Oryctolagus cuniculus: one gene and its partners. The protein of the gene in region 2 purifies or fractionates together with the protein of the main gene of each other region. This does not show direct contact. Links are inferred from orthologs where the notes say so. Each region holds a gene or a part of one and is shown on either strand. Other genes may lie near its edges.

Region 1 (2,367 bases), on a different chromosome or scaffold from region 2:
CACTAAACCATGACCCAACAATAATTTTCTATGCGGTTTCACTAATACCATTTAAAAGAACTTAACAAGTTAGTACGTTAATAGCTTTCTGAGACAAATTTAAGATCAAGAAAGTCCACAAATAATGTACAAATATTTGTTAAAAACGAACCAATCTGCCAACCATTTTCAAGAGTTCATATAATACATACAGCAAAATATTTATAACCAGAAACCGCAGTGCAGATACACCCTTAATTTGTTAAGTTTTACTCCAAAATGAAATCAACTTGCATGATTTCGTCTTACTAAAGCAGTGCACATTTTCTTTCATACAGACCAGTTAACATACAGGAGGAACCCACAAAGAGCCCATCAGTGATCTGACAAACTGTATTACACGGAACACAAATAAAGCCGGAAGTTAATCTGAAGAATATGAAGGCGTTATCAGAGATTATGCAGTGGCCTTGATTTTTATTTTTCTTTACCTAGAATTCTACAAATTTATCAATTATCTTTTTTAATAAACAGCACCAATCTTGCCCATTGATACAATTAAAATCTGACTTTCTCAGTTCTTAGTTCACAAGTTTATTATGAAAAACACTGCAGTGCCCTTGTGCAGTAACATCATCTTACAAGACGGGAGGGAGGGACAGTTCTGTTCAAAACAACTCACCAGGTTCTGACAATAACAAAGAACAACACAGGGGTGAGATCTGAGAAAGGAATAAACCGAGTGCAGACAAATCATACAATTAAATTAAATGGTATCCCTGAAAAGAAACAAAACGATTTCAAAACTCACAAGTAGAGGGAGGCCTTGGTACTTATTTTTAAAAATGTTCATTAAGCTCCAATGATTGTTTGCTGCTATCCTTATCTACAGTCATGCTGAGTAAAGCTATAGCTAAATGGAAGTTATTGTATTCACGAGGCGTTAATGTTTACATCTTATTATCTGCAGTCTCTCAGAGAAAGCAAAAGTAACTACAAATAGCGCTATGCCAGAAACTGGTTTCTTGACCAACAATGTCGCTTCAGCATGCAATGAACTGGTTCATTCTAAAGTGGTCACGGCTGTTGATGACAAGAGGCTTTGTATTTTTATATGGCACATCTTTTGGTCCGTGTGAAAACAAGTTTTTTGAAGGTTAACTATTTTTCTGACACTCTGGAGTTACTGTTGCTCTTCCCATTTCCATCAGGTCACATATGGTTCATGGCAATACTGTACAAGTTTAAAATTTCATTACAGGAAGTAGTCTGGGGTACGACGAGTAACATGTGGCTCGCCTCTACGAGGAGCTGGGTCAAACTGCAAGCTGAAAAACAAGAGATTCCTTGTTTACATTCTGACAGCCATGCACTAGCAATCCAAATCACTGGCATTCATTTTTAAACATTACATTTTTTTCCTATTCCATTCTAGGTCAGTCTCATGTAACAGGAGCTTACCTATACCTAAATCATGCAGTCAAAAGAGCTTCTAACTGCACTTTCCTGCAAAGAGCCCGGGCAACTTCAGCCACAAAAATGATGCTTTTACAAACTATGGTTCCTGGGGCTGGAGCTGTGGCGCAGAGGGTTAACGCCCTGGACTGAAGCACCGGCATCCCCCCTGGGATGAAAAGTCTGGGCTGCTCTACTTCCAATCCAGCTCTTTGCTATGGCCTGGGATAGCAGTAGAGTATGGCACAAGTCTTTGGGCCCCTGCACCCTTGTGGGGACCCGGAAGAACCTCCTGACTCCTGGCTTTGGATCAGCACAGCTCCATCCATTGCAGCCAATTGGAGAGTGAACTAGCAGCTCAAAGACCTTTCTCTCTCCCTCTCTCTGCCTCTCCTCTCTCTGTGTAACTCCGACTTGCAAATAAGTAAATATTTTTAAAAAATTTATAATTTTCCTAAGAACAATATTCCTTAAGAGTGGGTTTCTGCTTAAAAAAAAACAAAAAACAAAAAACAAAAAAAAAACTAGGGTTCCTGCTAAGATGGTTTGAGAGACTGCCAACTAAATAAACTTTAATGCAACTAAAGAACTGTATCTTAAAAGTTAAAACTCTAATAATTCATATTATGATCTGTGTACAATATATTAGTTTCTACTGTACTGTTTCAATATATTATAAGTCCCAAGAAGAAGTTAAAATTTAACATGATTGTACAAACCCTTAAATGTCCCAGTAAAACCAAATATTCAGTAATGGCGATGAAACACTGGGCGTGAACACTTACAAAGAGTATTTTAGAGTGTCATCAAGTTCCATGATTGCAGCTTGGTTACCACAGCGGTAACAATAGTTTGGAGCACTGAAAATTGTTACTACATTTCGGTCATGGCACCAGTTATATCCCTAAATGGAAAAGAAATTAAAATCAACTT
Region 2 (3,500 bases):
CCCGCTAAAGCCACAGCCTGACTTGTCGTGTGAACCTGTCAGTGCACCCCAGCCCCGCCCCCCTGTCACCACGCCCTGCCTTGAGGCTCCTCCCTGGGCCCATCAGCGTGCTCCCCCACTCACCTTGGCTGTGCACGTCTCCCAGCAGTCCACGCAAGTCCTGCGTGGAGGGAGCGTTTTGGAAGCCACGCGTGCTGGCAGATCTCTGTTCCGACATCCAGGATTGGCCGAGGGTTTGGGGGGAAGGAGCCCTCCGGAGCATTCTGGCATCGAGCCCCATTCTTTGTCCCCAGAACTGAGCCGAGAGCTCCCAGCCGCGAGGGTCTCCTGGCGCCGCTCCCCCAGACAGGACGCTTCTGCGCGGCTCCGCTGGGACCCCTCGCTGGGACCCGTCGGCGCTTCTGACCCGGGGCTTCGCGGATTGGGCGTGGGACCTTCGCCCTGTCTCTCTCCCTTTGAAGGCAGCAGCTTTGCACTCAGGGCTCGGCCTCTAAGATCTCCCTCCCCGTCTCCACGGGACGGCCGGGAGGAGCCGCCGCGAGCCTTGGCCTTTGCCCTGGCGATGCCCTCGGCGGCCCGTTGCGGACTCACAGCCCTTCCCCCAGGGGCTCCGGGCCCAGAGCAGGGCCCCCGTGCCTCAGAGCCCACCAGCCCTTCGCCGAGGCTGCCTGGTGTTTTGCTTCTGCGCTGTCAGCCGTGGGCCATCTCACGAGGCAGCCTACGGAGGGGCTGCTGTGTGGAACGGCGGGTTCATCTGCCCGTCAGCGCCGGTGTCCACATCACGGTGTTGGTGCAAGTCCCGTCATCCACTGCCGACCCGGGAAGACGACAGATGGTGACCCGAGTGCTCTGACCCTGCTGCTTATGTGGGGGACCCGGGTGGAACTCCTGGCTCCTGGCTCCTGGCTTTGGCCTGTCCAGACCTGGCTGCTGTGGCCATTTGGGGGGTGAACGAGTAGATGGAAGATCACTCTGTTCATTCTGTCACTCTGCCTTTCACGTAAGTAAATTTTTTTTAAGTTTTTTTTTTATTTATTTATTTGACAGGTAGAGTTATAGACAATGAGAGAGAGACAGAGAGAAAGGTTTTCCTTCCGTTGGTTCACCCCCCAAATGGCCGCTACGGCCAGAGCTATGCGGATCCAAAGCCAGGAGCCGGGTGCTCCACGTGGGTGCAGGGCCCAAGCACTTGGGCCATCCTCCACTGCCTTCCTGGGCCACAGCAGAGAGCTGGACAGGCGGAGGATTAGCCAAGTGAGCCATGGCGCCAGCCCCGTAAATTAATGTTTTAAAGTGTATGGTTCAGGTAATATTGTTCATGGGCCTCAAGTCATCCCTTGTTTGTCATTTTCCCAGATCTTGGAGCAGCACTGCTTTAAAGATATGGGTACATTGTTTAGGAGAATATTACGTGAGAGATGTTGCCTTTATGCTGCTGGCACACCTCGCCCGTTCCCCGTCATGACCACTAAGTCAGACGTCACCCACACGTGGGGACTCCGTGTCCACACAAGTGCAGCCCACGCTCCCGTGTGCCTGCCTGTCACTGCCAGCAGATGTTGCCCACAGTGCGTGTCGCTGAACTGCCCGCAAGATGCCCGTGAATCCAGCTGGCCCGCATGTCGTAACCACATCTCCTGTGTGTGCAGCTTCTGAACCCAACTTGAAACTGCGGTCCCGGCTCAAGCAGAAAGTGGCCGAGAGGCGGAGCAGCCCCCTGCTGCGCAGGAAGGATGGGCCAGTGGTCACCGCTCTCAAAAAGCGTCCGTTGGATGTCACAGGTATGGCGGGTGCGTGGGCGCCTGTGTCACCGCAGCTGTTCCCGGAGCCTCTGGACACTCAGTCTGCCTGACATGCTTGGCCACGTGCAGTCCTGGGCCCCTCGTGCCAGGTCCGCAAGGCCTGGCCACCCAGGCTCGGCGACCCGGAGTCCCTCGCCAAGTCCCTGCTCCAGCGCCAGCTGCACAGCGCTGCGGTTTCCCGGGCAGCACCAGGGCAGGGCTGTGAGCTGGTGCGGCACTGTGGGCATGTCTGCAGGGGCTGGGTGGGTCTCCCCTGCCCCGGCGGTGGTGAACCGGTGTTCCTGCCCGCTCACCGCCCCCCTGCTCCGTGGTCGCAGTCAGAGTCACTGGACGGTCCTGGAGTCTTCTCCCGCCAGTGCACCGTGCCTGAGCACAGGAGAAATTGCGGTGTAGCCCGCGGAAGACCTGCTGCCACCGCGGCAGCGCCCCCTGGTGGTGCACTCCCGGAATGTTCCAAGCATGCAGCTCGCATTGCCCTTCCTTTGGAAACTTGGCCCCAGGTGCTGCTGTTACTAAGCAGCCATTAAACCCAACTTCAGAAGCCTGGAGCCTTGTTAACATTGAGAGCCACAGAGACCTCGGCTGCGTGGCAGCAGCAGTAGTGGCTGCCGTGGCCAAGAGAGGGAGCTTGGTGCTGAGTGTGGCTTCCCCGGCCACACGGCTCTCGCTGGCACCGGGGCTGAGCCGCTCCGAGGGCGAAAGGCTCCTTACGCTTGTGGACCGCAAGGACAAAGCCCAGACGCCGCTGGCTGCGTCTGCGCCCGCACCTGGTGCTGTGCTGCACACGAGCTCAAGTTCAGAGCGCCAGCAGCGGGCGGCCTGGTTTCGAAGTGAGTTTTTCTGGAGAGCGCAGTGCATGTGACCTTTCACCGCTCAGTCATTTGCTCTGTGCTTCCTGGTCTTCTGTGGTTAGAACGTGGCGGTGGCTGAGAGCTTATCTCCCTGGGACTTGAATAGCTCCTGCAGTTCAGGAGGCAGACGACGGCTCCCCGTGTGTATCCTGAGCCCCTGACGGGGCTTGCTGGAGCGTGAGCTCCGCAGACTCATGCGGACAGCAGGGCGGGCCTGAGACTCGGGGCGCTGGCCGCAGGCTCCCTGTGCAGAAGCACAGGCGTGTCCCTCCTGTCGGGTTTCCACAGTCCCAAGCCCACAGCAGGCGTCCCGGCAGGCCGGCGCCGCTGGGCTGCAGGTGAGCTGCGCCGTGCCCTGCGGGGACCCGTTGCTCAGGCCGCGCTCACCGGACGTTTCTGCCCCACCAGACTCTGCGTGCAGCAGCGCCCCGGGCTCCGGGCCCAGCTCGCCCAACAACAACAGCTCTGGGAACGTCAGCACGGAGAACGGCGGCGTGCCGGCCGCACCCAGCATCCCCACTGAGGTCAGTGCCGTGTCTGCTGCGTCGCGTTTGCTGCTGCCCTCCCCGGGGGCGACTTCAAGTGCCTGCCTGGCTCCCCCTGGGGCCGCGGGGTGTGTGCAGGAGTGGCCAGGCCACCGCTCTGAGCCCGACGTGGTGCCTGACCTCTTCCAGAGCGTGTTTCAGACGGCCTCATACCAGCCTGGGTGCCCACAGCGCCCTGGGCAGCAGCAGGGCCCTCCAGGAGGCCCTGGGTGCACGGGAACCCTTGCGGAGTGAGAGCGTTCATGGCTGTTGTGTGTTGAAAAAGCCACAAATTAACATGTCGACCAACAATCCACGGGTCG
Region 3 (3,993 bases), on a different chromosome or scaffold from region 2:
GCAGTCCTGTCAGCAAACAGGCAGTGCTAGCCAGCACCGTCGTGCCCGGTTCCTTCCAACCCGGCGGGCTCTGGCCCATGCCCCGGAGGCAGCCTGGGTTCCGGACTCGGTCTACACCGCGAACGCAACTCAAGGAGACTCTTCTGAATCCACGCAAGATCGTCTTGCAAAAGCGCTAAGAAAGCACAAAGAAAAGTGTGCCTAAAGCCATTTTTCCGACCCTCCCTGAAATGCAGGTTTATATATTCTCGCTTCTGAAAGCCGTTTCTACAGTAACTTCACACCTTCCTTCCTCGGAGAGAGGCGTGCAACAACGGGTCTGTGAGGTTTTCCCTGGCATTAACTTAAACAAGTTCGCGACAGAACGCCTCAGGGGCCCCGCGGGGTCCCCCGTGCCGTGCGGCAGAGCGCGGGCAGCCTGGCAGGAAGGCCGCGCCGCAACGCGTCCGAGCGGGGAGACCCGGGGGGCTCGCGCCCAAGCCGCCAGGGCTGCGCTTTCCCACAGGGAACTCGGCTACGCCGCCTGAGGGGAGCGCGGGAGCGGGAAAACGTGATGCAACCTCGGGCCCGGGCAGCCGCCAACTCCCCTCAGCAGCGCCTCCCGCAAGCCCGCCGCCGCCGTCCCCAGCGGCAGGCGCTGGGTGCCCCCTAGTCCCGGCGCAGACGCACCCCCCAACGCCTTTCTCTCCGCCCCGGCCGCACACAGACGGGCACGTGAGCGCCGCGGCGCGTCCCAGCTGTGCCTCAGCTGAGCGCCTCCGGATTGGCTGAGAGCGACGTGGGCTGGGGTGGGCACTGGCCGCCTGCGTCGCTCGCCATTGGCTCCCGAGCAGCCCGCCTCCCCCTCAGGTGAGGCGGGCCTGCGGGGGCGCGCGCGCGCGCGCTGGGCTCGGCGGGCAGGCGAGGGGCGGGGGCGCGCGCTCCCGCCCCGCCCCTCCCCTCCCCGCGCGGCCGGGCGCGCCTCCGCCCTTGCCCGCCCCCTGCCCGCTGCCTCAGCTCCGCCGAGCGCAGAGCCGCCTCGTCTGAGGGGACGCGAGGACCGTCCTCGCTGCCGAGTGGGCCCAGCGCGTCGGGCCGGGCCGTGACAAGCAGCCTGCGCGGAGGCTCGCGCCGGACTCCGCGCTCGCCGCCCCGCTCTGCTCTGCGAGGAGCTTCCCGCCTCGCACCCCTCCCCCGCCGCCGCCCCCACCCGGACTTGCTCTGCTCTCTCCGCGTGTGCAGGGAGCCGGCGCTTAGGCCGGAGCGAGCCTGGGGGCCGCCGGCCGGGAAGGCATCGCGGAGACCGAATCGCCATGGAGGGCGCCGGCGGCGCGAACGACAAGAAAAAGTAAGCCCCTTCCCCGCCCGCCCGCCCGCCGGGCCGCGGCGCTCCCGGGGTGGGTCGCTGGGCGGGCGGGGGTCGCCCGGCCTTTTTTTTTGTTGTTTCTGCCTCCTCTCCCCTCCCCTCTCTTTCCCCCAACCTCGCCGGCCGGGCTCCCCCGCTGTCCACGTCGCCATCTTGTCGTGGGGGGTGGGAGACGCCTCGAAAGTGCTTCCAGGGGGCCGGGGGTCTGCACGCCGCCGCCGCCGCCGCCCCCAGCCGGGGCTGCGGGGGTCCTCGCGCCGCCCCCCGCGCCCGCCGCGGAGCCCCAGCCTTGCGGCGCGGCCCCGTCCGGAGGGGACTTCGCCCCAGCCTGGAAGCCGAGCCCGCAGCTCGGCGCCGCCGCTCGCACCCGGAGCTTCCGCTCCCTCCCGGTGGCGGGGAAGGCGCGGGCCGGGCGCCCCGCACGCTGGCCGCGGCTCGCCGGCGGGTGCGGGGCCCCGGCGGCCGCGGCTGGGCTGGCCCTTGCGGCGGTCCCGCCGCGGCGGGTGTCGCTGCCTTTGTGCCGTGGTGGGGGGATTGGCCGCGGCGGCCTTCGGATGCTAACTTTTTAGTTTGCACGTGCAGGTTTTGTTTTTCGTTTTGTTGTTTTAATCGGCTGGAAAAACTTGCCCAGACTTGGGAGTCGGAGTAACGGGAATTGGGGGGCACATCGCCAGGCTGTAGCGGGAACTTGGGAAGTGGAGACTTGGGATCCAGGGAGCCCAGACGATGAGCAGGAATCCGTGCCTCATTCATTCCCGAAAATATCTTGGTGAAAATGTAACGGGCGGCTTCGATTTAGGCAGACAGTGTCAGTGAGGTTGAAAAGCGAAGTAGATGACCGGAGCAAACGAAATGCAACACTAAAGTGTTGGAGGATTTTTTTTTTTTCAGAACTGTCTCGTTTTCCTGATATTTTAATATATTTGAAGGAAACCATCAGCACATATCCAGATTGTGTTGGGACTTAAAGCAAGTTTATTGAACAGCGTGAAGTGTAAGAGGGGTACATTATAGAAAGATTAAGAATGGTGGAACCCGTGGTATTTACAGTACCCCCCTCCCTATTTTCTCCACTTTGGTATTTTCACCGTTGAGGAAATTATTTTAAGGAATTGAGGATTTATATAGTAGGAGTAGTAACGTAGGCTGGCTTTACTGTTAAGTCCTTCCACTCTTATGGGAGAGATTAACTTCTCTAATCAGTATGAGCGGAAGATAAACTTGTTTATATCCTTGCTGTTTTGTAGATTCTTTATCTTGGTCCCTATTCAATAGAATGTAAAATTCTCAGTTTATATACACCGGGGAGAGAGCACTTACACAATTTAAAACATGAGCACACAAGTCTAGATTTAATTTCAAGAGTTAACCAGGAATTAATTGCAATTAATTTTGCAGAAGTGATTACAGTGTTTTTGATGAAATGAAGAGGCTGCTATATTGTAAACCAAAGGCAGATTACCTCTGTGTAGTGCCAATTTTCCGTCCTTATTATATACTGAATCATAGTTACCACAATGCATTAGGTTGTGTACCAGTCACTTCCTTTTTATATGTAATACTTTACTGATTTCTTCTTTGCTATTCTTCAGTTAATACCAGAAGCCACTGTAAAATAAGTGAGTGAATAAATTAGCAACTACTGCGCACCAGCCCCAGCGCTAAATGAATTCTTTGGTTTTCCCCATTCCCATTGTTATTTTCAAAATTTTCTCATTTGAAAACTTAACCACCTGGGATCGAATGTAGTCGTAACACTTAATATGGAGATTCTTAATATAACTGAAATTTTAAGTTAAACAGTAAATAGTGATTACTCAGCAACTTTTGGATGATGTTAATTAAAAATGCCCTTTCCTGACTAATATTTCTTCAAGTTTTTGAAAGGTAACAGATTGAGGTGGAGATTTTCTTCTTGGAATTTTCCCAGTTTTAGAGGAGGACAAGGCAGCTGAAAATCAGAATTGAAAGAAATCAGAGCAGAGTGGTGTGGTTGTAATAGATTTAACAGGGAGTTTCATGTTGATTCCTTAGTTGTAGGTGCTGGACTTACTGAGAGCACAAGGATAATAGGGGTTTTTAGATTCAAAAGGAATGGCAGGAGGTTCTGTTTTTAGGCTTCAGGTCAGGTTCCTTCAGAGTTTTCCAAAACAAATAATTACTGGAGCATTGTAGTGAAATCTCTGAGAATAAACATTTCTAAATTTTCTTTTTTAACCTTGGCCACTAAGAGTCATTTATTAGTAAACTTTTGTTGTTGCAGTTTGACTTGTTTATAACAGCAGCAGGGCTAGAGATGAAGAGTGTAGAAGCTGGAGGCCTGAATCTCTGAGTTAGAGTGCCAGCCTTTCCACTTGTGAATTGGGCAAGTCCTGAATGCGTCCATGCCTAACTTTTCCTTTTGATGATAAGAAGCAGCCATCTTAACAGTTAATATGTATGGGAAATGAGATCATGCATGTAGAACACTTAGCCCAGGGTCGGGAATGGGGGAGTCTTGGTAACAGTTTGTGTACTTCCTAGTAAATGTTACCTGTTTAAGCTTTAAGTTTGAACTTCCACCACCCTTAAAATGCTTTTTGTAAGTTCTTCCAAATATTTCTTTCAGTTTCTCTTCTGTCTTCATGCATCTTTTCTGTATCTCCAAA
Region 4 (4,082 bases), on a different chromosome or scaffold from region 2:
CGCTCACCCTCTCCACGCCCCTATTGGCGGGGAGCTTCCCTAACTCAACCCCGCCTATTGGAGACGGATTGCCGAGTCCCTCCCCCCAGCCGCAACACCATTGGCGGAAGCGGGGGAGCTCTTCTCGTCTCATTGGAGGACACCGCACGGCCCGCCCCGCGCCGTCTCAGCCACAGGCCGAGCAGGTCGGCTCCCGCCTCCGCCGGTCAGCGTTTCGGAAGGCTACCTCCGGCTCTCGGCGCCCCAGGAAGGCAGCCGCTGTGGGGCACAGTGTCCGTGCGGGACGCAGGCGCCTCCCACCTCACAGCCGCGCCGGGCCCGCCCCCGGCGATTCCGCCCCGCCGTCCTTTGGTGGAATGTTGACACCGAGACGAGCTCGGAGTTCCGGGGGCAGCGCCGGGGCCCGGGCGCCCCTCACCGCGAACCTCAGCCTCCGGCCTGGCGGTCGCACGCCGCCGCCTAGCAGCGGCCGGGGCAGAGCTGCGCCCACAAACCCGACCGGAACGGGCAGCCCTGAAAGCGGCCCGACGGCCACCGCCCTGGCCGCCTCGGGGGCAGAGCCAGCGGAGGAACCGAGGAAGGGACCGGAGTGGGCGGGGGTGCCTCGTGCGGTCAGACCCCTCTGGGCCGGGGTCCCGCGTGCAGAGACACCTTCTGGGCCGGGGTCCCGCGTGCGGTCAGAGACCCCTCTGGGCCGGACTCCCGCGTGCAGAGACACCTTCTGGGCCGGGGTACCGCGTGCGGCCAGAGACCACCTCTGGGCCGGGGTCCCGCGTGCGGTCAGAGACCCCTCTGGGCCGGACTCCCGCGTGCGGTAGAGACCCCTCTGGGCCGGGGTCCCGCGTGCGGCCAGAGACCACCTCTGGGCCGGGGTCCCGCGTGCGGTCAGAGGCCACCTCTGGGCCGGGGTCCCGCGTGCGGTCAGAGACCCCTCTGGGCCGGGGTCCCGCGTGCGGTCAGACCCCTCTGGGCCGGGGTCCCGCGTGCAGAGACACCTTCTGGGCCGGGGTCCCGCGTGCGGTCAGACCCCTCTGGGCGGGGGCTTCCCCGTGCGGTGAGGCCGGCGCGGCCGGCGTCCACCTCGGCCACCGTGGGCTCCTGGCAGTCCCTAGGTCCGCTCCGTGAAGGCTAAGCTGCACCGAGACCAGGTGCCGGCACACAGGGCATGGGCCCGCCGGTGGCCTTGCTTGGGGGGCGGGGCTCGGGGCTTCCCGCTCTCGCCCGCAGAGGGGACCCCAACACCGCCCTCCCTCCGCAGCCTCGGAGCGAGCTCCGGCAACAGGTGAGTGCCGGCTGCGAGCTGGGAACTGCGGGGAGCCGACCCCCCGGCGGGGGCGCAGCTCGGGCCCAGCCCCGCGCGCCGCGCCCCGACCCCGCGCCGGGGTCCCCTCCCGGCCCGCCGAGGGCAGCGGCTGCCGGCGTCCGCAGCGCTCTCGCGCGGAAACAGCCACGCCGCCGGGCCCGAACTTCAGAGCGCGGCCCCGGCCCGACGGACAGACCCTCGCCCGCAGAGCCCCCAGCGCCACCCGGAAGCCGCCGGCCGCGGGATGCCGGGCAGCCCAGCGCGCCTTCGCCACCCCCTCCCCCCGCGGGGCGCGGAGCCGGGACTTCCGGGCGGGAGGCACGCGAGCAGCGCGGCGGCCTCACACATGTGCGGGGCGCGCTCGCGGCCGAGGGCGGACTTCCCCTCCCGGCTCGCTCCGCCGGGGGCGGGGCCGCGCGCGCAGCCAATCAGGAGCGGGGGCGGGCCCTCGCGCCTCACGTAGCCGCAGGACGCCCCCCCCTCCGCCCTTCACGGAAAAAAAAAAAAAAAAACCCTAGCAACTTAAACTCCTGCCCGGCCTCCCTATAGGCGGAGCTCGAGATAATGTCAGCCAATCCGTGCCCGAGAAGCGAAAGAGGGAGTCCCGAGCAGCCAATGGAAGACAAGAGCAGGCGGGGCCCGCAAGGAGCCCGGGGCGGCGGGCGGCGAGGCGGCGCCCCGCCCCGCGTGTCCCCTGCGGGCCGCTTGCACAAGCCGCCGGCGGAGTCGGTAGTAAACAGTCTGGGCCGCGGCCGGAGGCCGGCCGGCCGGCCGGCCGGCCGGGCCCGCGCCCCCGCCCGGCGCCTGCGCCCCGCCTCCCGCCCGCTGATGCGTTTCCTCTTCCCGAGCGAGCGTGGAGACAGTTCCCCAGGTTCCGACCTTCACGGCCGCTCCGGGCGGCGAGGCGGCGGGGGGCGAGGGCGGCGGCCCCGGGCCGGGGGCGCCCGCGCCCCTCGTGCAAGTTTGCGCGCGCAGGGAAGCCGCGAGCCCGGCCCGCCCGGCAAGTCCGCGCGGAGGGAACTCCGGGCCGGCCGCCGCCCCCCGCCTGCCGGAGCGCGTCCGGTCGGCGCGCAGGGCCCCCCACCCACCTTTTTTTTTTTTTTTTTTTTTGCTGCTTTTCGTGTGTTTTTCTTAAAAAAAAAAAAAAAGGCGTGAGCGGAGCCGGAGACTCCTCCGGCTCGCCGCTCCCCAATCCGCCGCCGAAACCTACCGACACCGAGTGCTCGGCAACACTAGGCGGCGCGGCCGGCGCTGGCGCCCCCTCCCCACGGCTCGGCCCGGCCGGGAGACACAGTGGCGGGCGGGCGGGCGGCGCCGAGCGCCCTCCCTCCGGGCCGGCCCCTCGCCTACCTCGGCCGCGGGACTCCGAGCCGCCCCGGGGCCTGCGCGCCCGCTCTGCGTCGGGCCGGCCACGGCGAGCCGCCCCCCGGACGCGGGCCGGGGGCACCGAATTGAAAGCAGCTGTTTAACATACCTTCCGAGCCGGGCGAGGAGTGCTGAATGGGGAACGCCCCCCGCCGGCCATTGGCTCCGCGGCGCTGCGTCACGGCCGAGGGCCCGCCTCCGCGCTCGCCCCGCCCCTCCCTCCGGGAACCGTGCAAATAAATAAATTAGGCGAGCCCGGAGCGGAGGATCCCCGGTGCCGTCGCGGCGGCGCCTCGAGGGTCCCGGGCGGCGGGGCTCCGGGACGGCGGCCCGCCGTGCTGGGCGCCTGGAGACGAGGGGTGCGGGCGGGAAGCCCTGCGTGCAGCCCGGCGAGGGAGTCACCCCAGCCCTGGGGCGTGCGGGCGCGGTGGAGATGCTGCCGCAGGAGCCGAGGCGAGGCGGGAGTGTGCTCCCGCACAGACTGGCCGACTCCCGGGCGCTCCCAGGAGAGCCCTGCCGGCTGCAGGTAAGCCGGCGGAGCCGCGTGGAGGCGGCGGCGAGCCAGGTGGGTCTTAGGGGTTGCCCCGGGCAGAAGCGGAGGGGCAAAGGGCACGAAGGGACAGGTGGAAAGCGTGAGGACTGCGATGCTGGAAACCAGGGTGGCAGAGGTGGCCCCAAGCCGCGGGACGTCTCCTAGCTGGACCAAAAGCCGGTCGCAGGCCCAGGCCGGTGTGGTCGGGTGCTTAGCGCCCTAGCAGCCGGTGGGCTCTGGGGTGTGCCCAGTGAGGGGAGGGAGGCGCTGGGTTTGGTGGCTACAGTGCTGCGACGCCTGCCCTGCCTCTGCCCTGCCGCCCTTGCTCTGTTGGTCTCCATTGCCAACCGAAAAGAGTTTCCAGGGGGCAGGGCCACCCCGCAGGTCTGTGTTCAGCAGAGGCCGGATGCGCCTGGTGTGAGCGAGGGAGACCGGCTGGTCGGGGCTCGGAGGGATCCGTGCGGTGGGCCGGTAGTTCAGGCGGGGCACACTAGACCAGGGCACGGCCAGGGGATGCGTGCGAGCAAGAAAGGCGAGCAGTGTTGGAGAGACTCAGGGGAGAGGGCGGCTATTTGGAGTGGGCGGTGGGCGGCAAATGGAGCCAGCGGCCCTCGGCGGGGTGAGGCGGAGGAGCTCGGGGCTGGCGGAATTCGGCCCTGCGCTTCGCGTGGCCGTTGTCGGAGGCTTAAACGAGCTCCTGTCTCCCCTACCTGGGCCTGAGCCTCTCCACGAAACGGGGTGGGAAATGGAGCGGACAGGCTGCCAGCCGCCACCCCCACCCTCCGCCCCGGCCCCAGGGTCCACGTGGGAAGCTGGGCTGTAAGCAGAGAGGGCAGGTGGGGAGCCGCAGCTTTGGGGAGACCACGGAGGGGAGAGGAGGGG
Region 5 (3,500 bases), on a different chromosome or scaffold from region 2:
AGATGTCCCCAAGAGCTGGGGTTTGGACAGGACAAAGCCAGGAACTCCATCCAAGTCTCCACATGGGTGGCAGGGACCCAAGTCCTTGGGCTATCATCTGCTACCTGCCAGGTAGCGGGAAGCTAGATCAGAAGCACAGAGTAGCCAGGAGTTGAACTAGGTCCTCTGTTATGGAAGCAGGCATCCCAAGCAGTGGCTTAACCTGCTGAGCCACAATTCCTACTCCCTTACTTTTTGATTTATATTTGTTTCTATTTTTTTAAGATCAGTTAACAGAAGCACAAGTTAAGTTGAATAACTCTAATCCCAAAATCCAGAATGTTCCAAAATTCAAAGCTTTTTGAGCACAATGTGATACAAGTGGAAAATTCCATATGAGGGTGCAGGGGCCCAAGCACTTGGGCCATCTTCTACTGCTTTCCCAGGCCATAGCGGAAGCTGGATCGGAAGTGGAGCAGTCAGGACTCGAACCAGCGCCCATGTGGGATGCCGGCACTGTAGGTGGCAGCTTTACCAGCTGCACCACAGAACCGGCCCCCACTTTACTAATAAAGTTCCCTTGAGTTGACCTTCCCCTGTATAACACCTGCCCCTGAAGGCCAGGAATGTGGTGAATTCACTGCACCCCTCAGAGCTCAAAGACCTGCTGCTCCCCAAACATGTTTGAGCACTGCCCTGGGAGAGTCAGAGACTCTCTTTTGTAAGAGGAGGAAAAGTGAGGTCGGTGTTATGGTGTAGCAGGTTAAGCCACCATCTGCAGTGCTGGTATCCCATATAGGTGCTGGCTAGAGTCCTGGCTGTTCTACTTCTGATCCAGCTCCCTCCTAGTGTGTCTGGAAAAGCAGCAGAAGACAGCCCTAGTGTTTGGGCCCCTGCATCCAAGTAGGAGACCCAGATGAAGCTCCTGGCTTCAGCCTGGCCCAGCCCTGGTCACTGAGGCCATTTGCGGAGTGAACTAGCAGATGAAGATCTCTCTCCTCTCTGACTCCCCCTCTCTCTCTGTAACTCTAACACTCAAATAAATAAATAAAACTGTAAAAAGAAAAAAAAAAAGAGAGAGAAGGAAAAAGCTCTACTAGGGCAGGAACGCTCTCCACAGGCTACCCGTTCCCTTCTCTGCTCTGGTGGCTCTTCCCTGGGTCTGAACATAGCTCCAGAATTTTCAGCAGGAATTTAAGCTGTCACATAAATTAACCAGGGCTGGCAAATGCAATGAGATCCAACTGGATGATCACAGAGATGTCACTGCTTAAACACTTGATGATTCCACTGGCTCAGCTCCTTTACCCAGCCCTGCCCCTGGCCCTCTGAGGGCCTCAGGGTCCCCACCTGTGGGACAATGTCCACGGCCTCTCACTTACCTCTGTGAACTTGTCTGCCACCATGTAGCGGACACGCCAGGACTTGTCCTCAGCAGCCTGGCGCAGGGTGGGCATCACCAAGGCCTCCAGGTCCTCCTGGGGCAGGAGCTGGGCAATGTTCACGCACGCCTCCACTGCCAACAGCCGCACCGAGTCCTGGGGAGATCAGGGCACAGGGAGGGCAGCAGAGGCCCTGCTGAGCCCTGGGAGTCCCTCTGAGTGCACGGTCGGCCAGAGGGGAGGGCCAGGGAACAGAGCTCACCTGCTCGTCAGAGGCCAGGTTGGAGAACATGGGGATGATCTCACTCTTGACATTGTCTAGCTCCAGCACCTTGGCGAACTCCCCCAGCTTGGAGGCTGCGGCCCGCCGCACCATGGGGGTGTCGTCTGAGCACAGGTTCCGGAAATACCTGGGATTGCAGGCAGAACTCAGGAGGGGGAAACCCTGGGAATTCCAAGGCAGCAGGCAGCAGAGTGGCAAGGTGCCTCTAGGGTCCTGGCTTTGCTGGGTGGAGCTGTGAGCAGCAGCACCTACCCCACAGAGCCGTCAGGTTAAATCAGGTAGCATGTGTGAGACACTCAGCAGCCTTCCAGCACATAATAATGCTACCAGGTAACAATCAGAAAACTGCCAAACCGGAAGTGCTGCCCTAAGTCAAACCGAGAGGCTATCCTTAAACACAGCTGCTGGACACGCATGGGTAAAGGGAGGTAACTCAGCACACAGGTCCCACTGGAAACCAAAACTCTGGAGTGAGTGACAGTTCAGGGCCTGGGCCTGAGGTTCAAGATCCTGGGAGAGACCTGGGTAGGCCTGACATGGAGATGGCACATGTGCCAAAGGCTGTGACCTAGGGTTGGCCCAAGGTAACACCAGACATCACTGGTTGAGTGTTTTGTGTGCCAGATTCCATCCAAATCACTTCATGTGCTCATTTTATTAAAATGGGAAGAAGGCACTCCCACTGAGACAGAGCCAGGGTTGATGCCACACCCCCAAGGGCACGCCTCTCTGGGGACCGGTGAGGTGGAGTGGGAGCTGGGAGCACTCCGGGCAAGTGAGCCAGGGCGGACCTAAAGGGGCTGAGGCTTTAAGGAAGGGAACCAAGCTCAGCGGTGGGAGGGCCAGGGCTTCCATGGGGCAAGAGCAGGACTTACTGTCGAAGTTCCGCCTTGACGGCACTGGACACGCGGGGGTAGCAGACAGAGAAGAGGCCACAGGCGGAGGTGCGGGAGGTGAACCAGTCGCCGCCCGCCAGCCTCTTCACCAGTGGCACGAAGTGGGCCTCCAGGTCGGAGGGCGAGTGCTCGTGTGAGATGGCCCGCAGGGACTCCACCGCCTTGTCCCGCACCACCGTCTCCTCCACCGTGGCCAGTGACTCCAGGGGTGGCTGTGAGGAGAAGGAGACCATCACACACTCGCTCCCCACCACACGTGGTCCTGGACTCCCACCCAGACCGTGCTCCCTCCTGGTGCATCTCCCTGCAGATCCCCAATCACTCCGTGCCAGCCTTCACCCAGCCTTCCGTGAAAGCTCTCAGCTCCTCATAAACCTTTGTACGTGTGCCGTTTCCTGAGGAGAGGCCTGTCTACCCTTGGCTTCTCTAAGTGCACGACTCATCACTGATGCTGACGGGAACCTCTACCCCACGCTCAAAGCAGGGCCACCATGTCACAGCCCCCAGGGCTGGTTCAGCTCACAGGATCTCAGGAAGCAGGTCCCTTTAGCGTCCTCACTTCAAAGAGGACAGTGAGGCAAAGACAAGCTGAGCACTTTGCCCAAGCCAGGAACAACTTCAAGTCAGGACCTAAACCCACTCACTTGGCTCAGAGGCTCCGCAGTCTGGCCTCTAACACAGTTCTGCTGACTGTAACAAGATCTCACGTGACTCTGGGGCCCTGGGTAACTGCTTACTGGTGTGTTACCGGAGATTCTGGGGGGCGGGGACATCTGACTGGCTGCCCACTTTGCCCCAAAGCCCAGCAGGGCTCCTAGCATAGGGCAGGAATGCAGCAATTCCTGACCTAATGGAGACTCAATTTATGCTACAATGTTCAACTAAAGTTGTGCAGGGCTCTGGTCTGAAATCCAGCTTGGCTGGGGAGGTATTTAAGGCAGAAAGAAGGTACAATGGGAA
Region 6 (4,179 bases), on a different chromosome or scaffold from region 2:
TATGCTGCATTGCTATATACGAACTGATGTATTTATTCAACAGGTTGACATTCAGAAGAGCCGTTAATTACATCTCCTTTTATCAGGAACCCCTATGTTTACGTTCGGCATCTGCCTTTGTGCAAAGCTTGAAAAGCTCGCAGTGCACAGGAAGCAGTTACTTCTTACTGTTGCTGGACGGATAGCATGGTAATCACCCAAAAAGCTTAATTAGGTGTTGAGAACACAAGTATCAAAGAGATTCCTGGACCTATGTAAAAAATTATTAACATGTTTTTAACACTTCCATGATGCAACCGATGCAAAAATACCATCTCCACAAGGGGCCACTCCATTTACCATCAGCGTCTCCCATGTTAATAACCAAAGCTGACATCTGTTAAAAGAAAATGTCTTACAAACTGCCGGTGAGCTTGGCAACAATTTTTAAGACACTAACACGCCACTTGAGTCCATTCTCACAAGAAGAAAAACTTTTTCCATGCACACATTGTTTTCATCCCCCATAGAGTGTACTACTTTCTCCTACACAGGACTGATTCTAACTACTTCAAACGGGGGGGGGGGGGGGGGGGATTGGCACTTACTTGTAACTCTAATGATTGCAATTACATACATCACAGTACAGGACAGCAAAACTCAAAACAAAAAATTGAGACTCCAAACAAGCAGGAAAAACTCCATTTATGAGCAAAAAGTATAAACACACATCACATGCCTAATGGCTCTCAAGCCTATTTTCTTTCTGCTGCCCCTCCCCCATAGGTAAGTGCTAACTATTTCTAGAACTCTCAATGACAATTTGGGAAGCTTGCCATCAACTCCCATGATACAATCCAACATTCACGATGTTTTCATGGAGACAAAGCTGCCCTACTTCTCCAGACTATAAACTTATTAAAACGGTGAGAGAACACGCAGTCCCAGAAAGCCAAGATTACTAAAATACACCAATGTAACATGGGTCTCATTTAACAAAAAATGAAAAATGAATCACATTGCGAAACCCCCCCCCCCAAAAAGTCACTCACTGTCTTCACCGTGTAACCAGGATATTTACTTCAAGTTGTTTTAGGCTAAGAGGCTAAAAACACCACGAGGCCCTTATGGTCTCCAAACTGGAGGAGGGCTCTTCAGGAAAAAAAAAAAAAAAAAAGGAGGAAGATGATTACTTAATGATGGAGGGGGAGGGGAAGGAGCCTCCAGTCTAAAAACCTAGAACTAAAAATAACCCACCATATTTTATTAACAAGATGTTTAGATGAGCATAAGGTTCTTGTTTGGAAAACAAGAAAGCCAACAGTAGTAAACTTCCCTAACTCGACTGCAAATCGCATAGGTACTAAAACTCTTAACCTCTGGGTCCTGCACAGTCCAAGCAAGATCTCAAGCAAACTCCAGCCGCCGAGAAAATCCGATTTTTAACTAGGCTGCAACACTTCTCTCTCAGATTCACCCATTATTTTTACAAATTGTCGGATAACCTAACAAAGAGCATTTTTTTTAAAAGCCACGACGACCCAAGTTTTCCATGAAACACACCATTTTCACAGGCTGAACTGAATCCCGGTCGCCACTGCAAGGCGATGCCCGCTTCAGCAAATTAGGAACTTCCAAAAAAACGCCGAACACGTTAACACACGCATGGCTTCCCTCGGGCTGCCACCGTGAAGATTAATATTTCACTTCAAGAAAAAGTCTTGTTTTCTGTTCAAAAAAAAAAAAAAAAAAAAACGACCTCGCCTGCAAAGAGGAAGTTCCCGAGAAACCACCCTCTCACAACGTGGCCTCTCCACTGTCAGAAAACACTGGCACTCGGTGCCACCCGAAACTTACCAGGAAGCTGGCAACAACTTTGCCAATTCTACACTTCTGAACCCAACTTCAAAGGGGCTCCACCAAACAGCTCCCGCCGCCGGTGGGAAGCACCAAGTGACCAACCACCGCGTCCCGGAGCGAGGCCCTGCGGCCGCCCGCCCCTCCCCCAGCCGCCGGCGCCCCCGCCCCGGACGCGCGGCCCCAACGACCGTCCGCAGCCCCCCGCACGCCGGCCGGGGGCTCGGGCCGCGCCCGCCCGGGGGAGCCGCTTCCCATGGCTGCCTGGGCTTCCACACAAAAATCGCGTGCATCGAGAGGAGCCGTCTCCTCGGCTAAAAATAGGCTATAAAGGAGTCGGCCTCATGATGGCTCCTTGATTCAATTTGCTGCAAATTCTTTCCTCAAAGCCTCCCCCCACCCGGCGCGCGCACACACACACACATATACACACACATACACATATACACATACACACAAAAAGGGGGTGTCGGTGCACGGAGGGGGAAGGGGCCAGCAGGCCCGGGTGCCCATTTTCGGGGCCAACGACAACATAATTAGGGTGAGGATCCCCCCCGAGACCCAGGGAGGGTGGGGGGGGTGGGCAGGCACGTGAGCATTTCAAAGGCGCCAGGGAGAGCCAAGGCGGGGGGATGGGGCACCCTAAATGCCCTCCCTCCCCTCCCCCACCCGAGCCCCAGCTCCCCCAAGGGCCCAGTGGAAAAACGCATGTTCCCCCTAGCGCCCATCCCCCCGCGGCCCGGCGCCCCCCGGCCGCCTCCGGCCCGCGGCCCCCCGCCCGGCCCGCGGCCGCCCCCACTCAGGGGTCCGGCCCCCGGCGCTTACCTGGAAACGGTGGCCTCCAACGCCGCTCCCCCCCTCCCGGGAATGGAGGCACAAGGAAACTCCCCTCGTCGCCGCCGCCGCCGCCGCCACCGCCTCCAACCACCCCCAAAATAACCCCTCCGGGGGGTGAGAGGCAATTATAACCCCGGCGAGCGCGGGGCGCGGGGGATGGGCGCCGGCGGGCGGGGGCGGGGAGCGCGGCGCGGGTCCCCAGGTGGCGAGCGGAGGTGCTCCCGCCGCGGGGGGAGGGGCGGGGGCGCACGCGGCCGGCGGCGGGGGGAGGCGGCGCGCGGGGGAAGGGCGCGAGCGGGGAGAGGAATTGAGGCAGAAGGTAAAAGCTGTTACTAAGGGAAAGAGCCAAACGGTTCGGAGCAGCCAACGGCTCAGACACTCAACACTGGGGAGAGAGGAATGGGGACCAGCCAGGCACAAATGAGCTCGCGAGGCCCGCGGCGGCGGCGGCGGCGGCGGCGGCCGCGCAGCAAAACAAACCCGAGCGGCCTGCGCCGGGCGGGCGCGCGGGGGAGGGGCCGGGGGGAGGGGCGCGGGGAAGCGGCGGGGGGGGGGGCGTCCGCGGGCCGCGCTCCTCTCCCTCCCGGCTCTCGGCGGCGGCGGCGCTGGGGGCTGGGCGAGTGCGGCGCATTCTTTTAAAAAAGAAAGCCGGCCCCGCGGGCGCTCCGAGGCGCCTCCGGGCGCGGGCGGCCCCGCCCCGCCCCCACCGCCGCGCTCGGCTGAGGGCCGCTGGGTGTAGGCCGCGCGGCCGGGCCGGGGCCGGGGCCGGGACCCGGGCCCGGGCCGGCCGAGTTTCCTGGGCGGCCGGCGCGGCGCACACGCTGCGGGCATGTGCGGGAGCGCGGCGCAGGCCTCGTGTGGACATTTGCTGAGGAAGGGCTAGCGCTAGTGCACACCTTTGTGTGCGTCAGTGCATATGTTACTGGGAAGCGTACCTGCACAGGGGCTCTAAGCTGTAAGAAGCGGTTTTCCGAGTGGAATCCGGAGCACGGGCTCTGCAGAGCGAACAGTCGCACACCGGGAGGGGTTTCTGATACTAAACACAGGGCTGTGATTGCAGTGTTTGTGCCCAAATGGACTGTGCGTCAAGCATATGGTGGTATTTATCGTCTGGTGGGCCTGTGGCAGAGGTTGGGTCCATCAGTTCGCATCTCACGAGAATAAAATCACGCTGCCCGGTGTGGACTAAATACGTGCCTCTACCGCAGCCTGCACGGTGGAAGTTCAGGCCCTGCGCGCACTCGGTGCGTGTGTGCTGTGGCGCATCAGAGGCGGCGATCGAACTGGAACTGAGGTGGCTGATACCGCGATAATAGGATGGAGGCAGGGAGTGCGGCGGGCTCTTTTTGAAAAGGGAGGCACCTCACCGCTATGAAAGCCAACGTGGTGTTCATCTTTCAGAGACTCTGAGAAAACAGGCCTGGGAGGTGCTCTTAGACCTCAGTATAAGCCGAGGACATAAAAAGCAACCACTCTAGTGATGTTAAAAAAAAAAAAAGACTTCAA

The links.
Region 1: the proteins of HDAC4 (region 2) and PPP2CA purify together in Homo sapiens (affinity purification with western blotting; 3 studies listed by BioGRID, with this or other methods). This does not show direct contact. The link is inferred for Oryctolagus cuniculus from reciprocal best matches to the Homo sapiens genes HDAC4 and PPP2CA.
Region 3: the proteins of HDAC4 (region 2) and HIF1A purify together in Homo sapiens (affinity purification with western blotting; 4 studies listed by BioGRID and IntAct, with this or other methods). This does not show direct contact. The link is inferred for Oryctolagus cuniculus from reciprocal best matches to the Homo sapiens genes HDAC4 and HIF1A.
Region 4: the proteins of HDAC4 (region 2) and SIN3A purify together in Homo sapiens (affinity purification with western blotting; 3 studies listed by BioGRID and IntAct, with this or other methods). This does not show direct contact. The link is inferred for Oryctolagus cuniculus from reciprocal best matches to the Homo sapiens genes HDAC4 and SIN3A.
Region 5: the proteins of HDAC4 (region 2) and PPP2R1A purify together in Homo sapiens (affinity purification with mass spectrometry; 3 studies listed by BioGRID, with this or other methods). This does not show direct contact. The link is inferred for Oryctolagus cuniculus from reciprocal best matches to the Homo sapiens genes HDAC4 and PPP2R1A.
Region 6: the proteins of HDAC4 (region 2) and TBL1XR1 purify together in Homo sapiens (affinity purification with mass spectrometry; 3 studies listed by BioGRID and IntAct, with this or other methods). This does not show direct contact. The link is inferred for Oryctolagus cuniculus from reciprocal best matches to the Homo sapiens genes HDAC4 and TBL1XR1.

Annotation. Positions count from the first base shown.
Region 1 is NC_091437.1:22,493,193-22,495,559, forward strand, and holds the end of PPP2CA (serine/threonine-protein phosphatase 2A catalytic subunit alpha isoform), read right to left. Parts: intron 2,339-2,367; coding exon 2,220-2,338; intron 1,308-2,219; coding exon 1,235-1,307; 3' UTR 501-1,234; downstream 1-500. UniProt on the Homo sapiens protein: Catalytic subunit of protein phosphatase 2A (PP2A), a serine/threonine phosphatase involved in the regulation of a wide variety of enzymes, signal transduction pathways, and cellular events.
Region 2 is NC_091434.1:1,604,491-1,607,990, forward strand, and holds part of HDAC4 (histone deacetylase 4), read left to right. Parts: intron 1-1,649; coding exon 1,650-1,781; intron 1,782-3,061; coding exon 3,062-3,177; intron 3,178-3,500. UniProt on the Homo sapiens protein: Responsible for the deacetylation of lysine residues on the N-terminal part of the core histones (H2A, H2B, H3 and H4).
Region 3 is NC_091451.1:8,816,850-8,820,842, reverse strand, and holds the start of HIF1A (hypoxia-inducible factor 1-alpha), read left to right. Parts: upstream 1-1,193; 5' UTR 1,194-1,292; coding exon 1,293-1,327; intron 1,328-3,993.
Region 4 is NC_091443.1:108,521,641-108,525,722, reverse strand, and holds the start of SIN3A (paired amphipathic helix protein Sin3a), read right to left. Parts: upstream 2,801-4,082; 5' UTR 2,778-2,800; intron 2,679-2,777; exon of another isoform or gene 2,654-2,678; intron 1-2,653. UniProt on the Homo sapiens protein: Acts as a transcriptional repressor. Corepressor for REST. Interacts with MXI1 to repress MYC responsive genes and antagonize MYC oncogenic activities. Also interacts with MXD1-MAX heterodimers to repress transcription by tethering SIN3A to DNA.
Region 5 is NC_091449.1:6,437,523-6,441,022, reverse strand, and holds part of PPP2R1A (serine/threonine-protein phosphatase 2A 65 kDa regulatory subunit A alpha isoform), read right to left. Parts: intron 2,753-3,500; coding exon 2,520-2,752; intron 1,772-2,519; coding exon 1,624-1,771; intron 1,518-1,623; coding exon 1,362-1,517; intron 1-1,361. UniProt on the Homo sapiens protein: The PR65 subunit of protein phosphatase 2A serves as a scaffolding molecule to coordinate the assembly of the catalytic subunit and a variable regulatory B subunit.
Region 6 is NC_091435.1:102,717,847-102,722,025, reverse strand, and holds the start of TBL1XR1 (F-box-like/WD repeat-containing protein TBL1XR1), read right to left. Parts: upstream 2,801-4,179; 5' UTR 2,662-2,800; intron 2,367-2,661; exon of another isoform or gene 1,837-2,366; intron 1,698-1,836; exon of another isoform or gene 1,543-1,697; intron 1-1,542. UniProt on the Homo sapiens protein: F-box-like protein involved in the recruitment of the ubiquitin/19S proteasome complex to nuclear receptor-regulated transcription units. Plays an essential role in transcription activation mediated by nuclear receptors.